Linked DNA regions of Canis lupus familiaris. The protein of the gene in region 2 interacts with the protein of the main gene of each other region in a pairwise test. Links are inferred from orthologs where the notes say so. Each region holds a gene or a part of one and is shown on either strand. Other genes may lie near its edges.

Region 1 (3,816 bases), on a different chromosome or scaffold from region 2:
CAAGGTCGGACCCGGGGTCGGGGCCGAGGTAGGGGCCGAAGTCCAGGCCAGGGTCGGGGCTGAGGTCAGGGTCGGGGCCCGCGTGGGGGCAGGGCCCGGAGCCGCACCAGCAGGTGCAGCGGCCTGGGGGCCGGGCCTGGGCCGGGGGCCGGGGCAGCCGGCGCGGCCACTGAAGTGGGGTCCGGGCTGGTCCTGGTCCTGGGGTAACCCCAGCTTCTCCAGCGCCTCCCGGCGCGCCCTCCTCTGCTCCTGCAGCGAGGTGGCGGCGGGGCCGGAGTCTCCGGGGCCGCCGTCGGGGTGGCGGGACAGCCAGTTCTGGGGCTCACCATGGAGCCCGCTCCGACTGCTCTTCAGGACAATATTGGGGGGCAGCTTCCGGGGCTTGGGGGCCAGGAGTGGGGCCAGCCGGGCACCGGGGTCCGCGCCCGCGGGGCTGGCAGCATCATGGGCTCTCGCAGCCTGGGACCCCAGGGTGGGGGGAGGCGCGGGGCCGCCCTCCTGGGGCTCCTGCCACATGGCCTTTGTCGCCGGGGGGCTGAGGGCCCGTGGCCCCGGGTGGCCGTCACGGGAGGCCCCGCCTGCCTGAGTCTCAGCGCCTGGGCCCGCCGGCCGGTGCTCAGGCTCCCCGGGGCCGCTGGTGGGCCGGCTGCTCCTCCCGAGGTCCTGGCCACTGCCGATGCGGATATTTCTGGGGAGGCTATAGGAGCCAGACCTGGGGCCCAGGCCCTGGGGCTCAGGCAGGCGGGGCGGCCCGGCCGGGGGCCCTCTCCTGGGCTCTGGGCCGCGGGGCGCGCTCCTCTCCGCTGGGTGTCCTGCGAGGGTCGGGAGAACAAGCACAGAAGAGTGGGTGCAGTGAGAACCCCCTGCCCAGGGCAGACACATCCTTCCTGAGCTCCCACCTCGCCTTAGCCGCGGGGTGTGCGCTTTGCGGAGCCTCTGCTCTCTAAGGGGCCCCCTGTTGCCTGGATATCACTTACACGGGCAGATGGACACTAGCCGACTCCCTACAACCAAGGATTAATTTTTCATGGCGGTTGGGGCGGTTGGGGAAGGAGCAGCTGCACAGAACTCCGTCCTGGCCTCGGGCTCCTCCCAGCCCTCTACAGAAACACGGGGCGGGGGTGGGGGGGGCGGGGACTCAGCACAGCCCGCTAGCTATCCTGGGGCGCCCCAGGTCACTGAGTCCTGGGGAAACTGAACGCGAATAGCACCAACAGCTGACATGCTCTTGCTGTGACCAGACTTGCCTTCCTCCGCCTTCACTTTCTTTTCTTTTTTTTTTTTTTAAGATTTTATTTATTTATTTTTCATGAGAGACATGCACAGAGAGAGAGAGAGGCAGAGACACAGGCACAGGGAGAAGCAAGGCTCCGTGCAGGGAGCCCGATACGGGACTCGATCCCGGATCCCAGGATGACAGCCTGAGCCAAAGGCAGATGCTCAACCACTGAGCCACCCGGGTGTCCCCCCACCTTCACTTTCTATGAGCACCTGAATGGCTCTGTGATGGCCACAGCTGTCCCCACACTGGAGAGTGACTTGGGCTCTTTTTTTCCAGCAAGCGAGGCAGGTGCCTCGGGCCCCCTGGGCCAGGGAATCAGTCTCAGGAAGCAGTGGCGTCCTCGTCCCCACTTACTGGCCTATGTCCACGGAGGGCCTAACACACTGTCGGGACGCCTGGACTGTCTCCTTCTGCCTGTGTCCCTGTCTCTCTCTCTCTCAGTCTGTGTCTCTCATGAATAAATAAATAAATCTTAAAAAAAAAAAAAAGACACACACATTGTCAATCAATGTTTGCTAAATGAATGAATAAATGGTCGTAGTCGCTGTACCAGCGGGCTGTCCTCAGGAGTCAAGTGCCCGCCTCACTCTGGGACATATGATCCCACAGTCACAGCCACACGTGTGTACCATCCTGTCCCCTTCTCCTGAGCCTCAGTACCACGGGCTCTGCACACTCCCTCACAAGAGCCGCGAGGTACCACCCACTGAGGCTAAGGGAGCCCTTCCCTCCTATCTCTTGCAACCTCCTTCTTCTGGATCATCCAGATTAGCTCTCCAGAATCACTCAGTGTCCCCAGAGCAACACCCACCCCTCCCTGCCTCCCTCCCCCACCTCTGTGGTCAAGTCTCTTCAGAATGTCTCTGGGAGAGAGTGGGAGCTGGTCAAACCCTCCCAGGCCTCTGACCATTCACAGGAAGCCAGAGAAGCTGGCCTGTGAGCAGTCCCTCGTCCTCCTCCCCAGGACAAGGCCTCATCCCAGCCGGGAGGGAGCGGGAGAGGAGGCCCTTGCTCCCTCTCAGCCCACGGCCCTGAGAGCAGAGGCTGCCCGGGCCTCCGGGTTTGCTAGAGGCGCTCCCCCAGCCGGGCCTCTCTTACCCTGGGGGGCAGGCTGGGCTGCGGGCGGCGCTCGGGGGGCTCGGGGAGCTGCGTCTTGCTCAGACTCGTCCGTGGACAGCCCGCTGTCAGCCTCAGCGTCCAGTGAGCCGATGGTCTCCTCCAGGAAGAGCAGACACTCTTTCTCTTCAGCGGACAGGAAGTCGTAGCTGCTGTCGCTCTGGAATGAGGCGTGGAGGACCGAGAGGATGAGGGACTGTGAGAGGGAGCTCCCCTGAAACTGGTGGGGCCCGAGAACCACCCTGCGTCCTGAAGGAATGCTGAAGAGCTGGAAACCTTTCCAGGAGGCTTCTCCGCAGACTGTGCAAACTGTGCGGGAGTTGCCTCCTGAAACCGCAGGCCCGGACGGGCGCAGGGATGCGGGGCCGAGGGCCCACGGGCACCCATCGTGGGGCAGCCAGGTGGCAGTTGACCTTTCTTGGCTCAGTCCTGGGTGGAAGGCTTGGGGGAACAGATCAGAAGCGGTCCCAGGTTCTAATTCCAATTCCTCTGTGTGAGGAATTGCCAAGCATTTCACGTTGTGTGTCTCCGATTTAGCTCTAAATTACACGGACAACAGAATGATTTGACCTTAAACTTGAACGGTATTGTTTTTAACTTTCAAAGTACTTTTGCATACGCGACTGGTATGTCAAGGACGGTATGAGGGACAAACAAGAAACTGTGGCCAACCACCGGCCGGCAGGGCAATGGGAACTGTGGTATGAGTAGCCACAGATAAATTTACTAAATAATGTACACTTGACTTTGCAATGCATTCCATGCAGGATTTTTTCCTTTGTGTATTTGCTCTCTTGATGGCATTCGGTGCTGGCTAACATTCAAATAAGTGTGCATTTCTTAAGCAAATATTAACTTGAGGAGGGGAGGGGAGAGAAACTGGACGGGTGTGGGAGGAGGAGAGGGCAACATGGTGTGAAATATCAAGTAGATTTTAAAGTAGATAATTGTCATGATGAAAAAACACAGAGGGATGTTTGGGAAAGAGTGTTATGGCCACTTCCAATGGTTACTGCTTGTGTCCTATGAGGCCAGCAAGATCCACAGAAGAGTCCCTCTCTAAAGTTGAAAGTTGAAGGGAAAACCAAAAAGGCAAATGGAAATGTAAGAGATTTGGCCTGAGTCCCTTCTTGGCATGTATCTCCACCCTCTTCCTAATATTTGAGATACTTCAGAGTTACATATTCTCCAGACCCACTCAGATGGCCTGGGAAGATTTTGAGATGGCCCTAAATATATCCTAGGAGATGGTTGTTGGAATAACCCTACCAGCTCCCCTGGCTCCTTAAGGAGCCACCTGTCTGTTGACAAGAGTGAAAATTCCATGTTTAAGGAAGCCTCAGACATACCCTTGGGAACCCTGAAGTCGATTCCAAGGGTTCCCTGAACAAAATCTTCTTTACTGCCCTTTTCTTCCT
Region 2 (4,296 bases):
AAAAATTCATCTATGGCTGTTATATCCAAGTAAGACTACAATGCAACACACTTCTCGGCTCATTTGCCAAGAAACTCAGCCATGTTCTGTTTTTTACTCAGTAATGATATCATCTATCTATTCATCTGCTTCTTTTCAACACTATTTTCAACTGTCCTGCTTTACCATTTTCTTGATTTTTTGATAATAAGTGGAAATTCTCTGTATAAATCGAAAGCTTACAGATTTAATATCATAAAAACTGAGTAGCTTAAAAACTAGCTTTTGAATTTTAAAAAGTCAGTGACAAAAAAGTTGACAGTTTTTAACCTTTTGCACTTGGTATGATGTGAACTCTCAACAATTTCTCTTGTATCAATTAATGAGCACACAAATTACGGCTTCCATCATTTATGCCGAAGGAGGAAAGCCATAGATTGGATAATTCAAAATGAGAAATTCAGATATGCCACTCAAACCTGAAAGCAAAAGCTTAAACTTATAAATGCGTATATGGCAAATTCTTTGGTTATAGTTAACATTTTTGAAGGCTAAACATAGGGTCAGACACTGTTGTAACTGCTATCCCTGTGTTACTGAATCCTCTCAGCCTTTATGAGGTACTATTATTCCTCTCTTGAAGATGAGGAACCTAAGGTATATGGAGTGGTATTTGCTCAAGATAACACTTGGTAGAGCTGGCACACAAATATAATTTAGCTCTGGAGTGCCCAACTTTACCCTATAGTGACTCCTTGGATGGGAAAATAATTCTTTTGTCATGAGTTCACGCTGTAACCAAATGTTTGCATGGCCCTTCCCTCTAATTTTGTTGACAGAAGTGGGATAGTATGCTACACAACTATGGTTACTGTGCATGTTAAGCACTGTTGGGAGTATTTGTTTTCATGGAATGTATGTATGTTCACTGGTATCATTTATGTTTTACTTGTATTTTGAAAGCAATTTGTACTTTAAGACTTCATTGGAATGACAGTGTAGTTTGGAAGGATTCAATAACTTATTTTTAGTCATCTCAATTATCATAGTTCTTGAGCTTTCCTTCTGCAAGGAAACATAACTCTCTAATCTGTATTTTGACAGAATGGTTCCACCTCTGTAACAGATCACAGTAACAATAACAACAACAACAACAATAATAATGTTAGCCTGTGTGAGGGGAAAGCACTGGTCTTTGAGACTAGAAGTTATGAACTCCAAATTATCTCCTATCTGTTTCAGACACTGGCTAAATTTCATCACATATGGTATTTCTGAAAAGGATTACATGATAGGAAGAAAATGTATATTTTAACAAACTAGGAGCTGTACATGTGCAAAAATACTTTCTACTTTCTTCCCATTGTTTTCCCTATCTTGGTTTCTTTTTTGTGGCAAAAACATCTACTAAAGATTTAATCCTTCTAGCATTTCACTGAATATTTCACCTTGGGTAAAGGTGTTGTTCCAGGGAAATGTTCCCTTTCAGTTTTAAAAATTAAGTCCCTAGCTAGTTGTACTGTGGGGAAGTTGTGTATACTTCCAATAAGAGCCATCTGAGCTATTACAGAATTCACACATACATAATCAGAAAGGCTAAATTCCATAAGAACAAGTTCTGCAAAATGGGTTGTAAGAACTACTTTAGAAACCACTTATAAATTCCCTAAAAATGATGTGAATTAAAAAAAAAAAAAGGATTTGAGAGACAGAGCATGAGCAGGGGGACAGGCAGAGGGTGAGAGAAGCGAACTCTCCACTAAGCAGGGAGCCCATGCGATCCCATAACCCTGAGACATCATGACCTGAGCTGAAACCAAGAATCGGAGGCTCAATTGCCACACGTAGGCTCCCCGGTGATGTGACTTTTAAGACAGTTTTTCTTGTGAATCATCACAACTAAATATTTGTTGACATAGGCAGAAAAAACATACTTTACCAGGTAAAATTGAAAATAGTCAACAGAAAAGAGAAGTTAACAGACTTCAGTAAGCCAACAGGCTTTGAAATATAGGATGGCATAAAAACACTAACATTTGAAAAATAGGATTTATTGATATCCCCTTTCAAAGACTGTGGAAGGCTGAATAATGCCCCCAATGATATGGAGGTCCTAACACTAAAATCTGCGAATGTTACTTTATTTTGCAAAAGAACTTCACAGCTATGATTAAGTTAAGGCTCTTCAGATGGAAAGATTCTTCTGGATTATCTGGATGAGCCCTAAATGTAATCACAAGTGTCCTTATAAGAAAGTGGCAGCAGGAGATTTAACTCCAGAAGAAGGTTATGTGACAAAGGGAGGAGAGGGAGAGACTGGAAGATGCATACACTGCTGGTTTTATAGTTGGAGGAAGAGGCCATGAACTGTGAATGCAAGGAGTTTAACTCTAGAGGGTAAAAAAGGGGAGGAAACCATTTTCCCCTAGAGCCTCCTGAAAGACTACAGCCCTGCTGACACCTTGATTTCACCCTCAGTAAAACAGGCTTTGGACTTCTGACATCTAGAATCTTAACAAAATAAATCCATGTTGTTATAAGCCACCAACTTTGTTTTGCTACAGCAGACATAGGAGACTAACATGATAACAGATGACACAGTAGTCCTCCCCTTATCTGCAAGAAGTGTTTCAAGACCCTCACTGGATGCCTGAAACCAAAGATAGTACCAAATCCTATATATTGTTTTTCCGTGTGTGTGTGTGTGTGTATGTGTGTGTGAGTGTGTGTGTGTGTGTGTGTATGTTTAATTTATAACTTAGGCACAGTAAGAGATTAATAATAACTAATAATAAAAGAGAAAATGCTGTAAAAAAGTTTGATGTATGGTCTATCACAAAAAAATATACTGTACTCACCCTTTTTGTAATGATGTGAAATGATAAAATCCTATGTGATGAGATGAAGTGAGGTGAATGTTGTAGGTACTGTGACATAGTGTTAGGCTACTATGGACCTTCATCTCATCACATCTGCTTCAAGACTACAGTTGATTGCTGGTAACTAAAACCACTGAAAGTGAAACCATGGATTAAGGACTATGGTACAAATCTTCATCCGGTTAAAATCTATTAACTCTCCATTTACAGAATTAGTTTATTCTAAATTCTATTAAAAATAAATTTCTGATTTTATTCCTCAAATAATAGGTTGACTCAGTATGGGAAGAATTCCTGAAAAACAGCATAAAATCTTAATAGAAGCAATTTTGAAAATATTAAAGCACTTTTGGGCAATTTGTTTACCAACTGGGTATCTTCAACTGAGTGTAATTTGATAAAAATTAAAGCTCAGGAATAACAAATTATTGCTATGGGAAGAGTTACAGTAATTGCTTAAGAATAACAAGTATAGTTGAGTAGTGACTATTATTCTCCCCATTTCACCAAACTTCAAATCAATGTGTTATCCAGAAGTAGTATTGTTGCAAAAATGAAACAGTTGAAGGATGGGCTGAAGTGAAAACACAACATTTTGTTGAATTCCTATTACATGTAAACACCTTATATTAACATATATATATATATATATGTATACACACATACACACTCATTTTCATCTCAAAACAACATTAAGAGATAAAAAGAGTAAAAAAAAAAAAAAAAAAGACTTATTGGAGGAGGGGGGAGTTTAACACAAAGCTAGGTCACAGCTAGTGCTGGTATTTCTGGGATTCAAATGCAAGACTAAATCCAAAGCCCATGACTTTCACTATTTCCAAAGAAGTGAATGGTGTTTGTAATGAAAACTTAAATTTCCTTTTTCTTTACTTCTGAATAACACAGTAACCAACTCAAAATCTCTTAAGTTATAGACTTTTGTTATGTCATGTTAATACACTATTTTCTACTTCCTCTAAGACAAGCATTATCACCATATGCAATTATCACCATATAAATATTAAAAAAAAATCCTACTTCTTTCATTAGATCCTCTAATGAATATTTTAAAAATACAAAAATTCAGCACCTAATCAACAAATTCTAAATATCTAACACTTAAAAATACTATCAGCGCAAAAATCAATCAACAGAAACAGACACATAAATGGCACCTGAAGTCCTCAAAGATGGGAGGGATGGAAAAAATATTTGACAGCGGACTTCTCATCAGAAACACTATCAACCAGGAGACAGAAAAACATCTTAAAAATAAAGAAAGGAAAAAAAAAAAACCTCATCAAAAATTCTCTACCCAGAAAAATTTCTGCAAAAATGAAAGCAGATTTACAATAATGAAAAAAGCTTGGAACTAGACAGATACGATGTTTACAAAACACTGTGAATGTAACAAATGCTATACACTTTAAAATGGTTT

The links.
Region 1: the proteins of HOMER1 (region 2) and C7H1orf116 interact in binary tests that used the Homo sapiens proteins (3 or more experiments, as listed by UniProt). The link is inferred for Canis lupus familiaris from reciprocal best matches to the Homo sapiens genes HOMER1 and C1orf116.

The regions. Positions count from the first base shown.
Region 1 is NC_049228.1:5,926,746-5,930,561, forward strand, and holds part of C7H1orf116 (specifically androgen-regulated gene protein), read right to left. Parts: intron 2,559-3,816; coding exon 2,381-2,558; intron 813-2,380; coding exon 1-812. UniProt on the Homo sapiens protein: Putative androgen-specific receptor.
Region 2 is NC_049224.1:27,542,632-27,546,927, reverse strand, and holds the start of HOMER1 (homer protein homolog 1), read right to left. Parts: upstream 2,957-4,296; 5' UTR 2,942-2,956; coding exon 2,838-2,941; intron 1-2,837. UniProt on the Homo sapiens protein: Postsynaptic density scaffolding protein. Binds and cross-links cytoplasmic regions of GRM1, GRM5, ITPR1, DNM3, RYR1, RYR2, SHANK1 and SHANK3.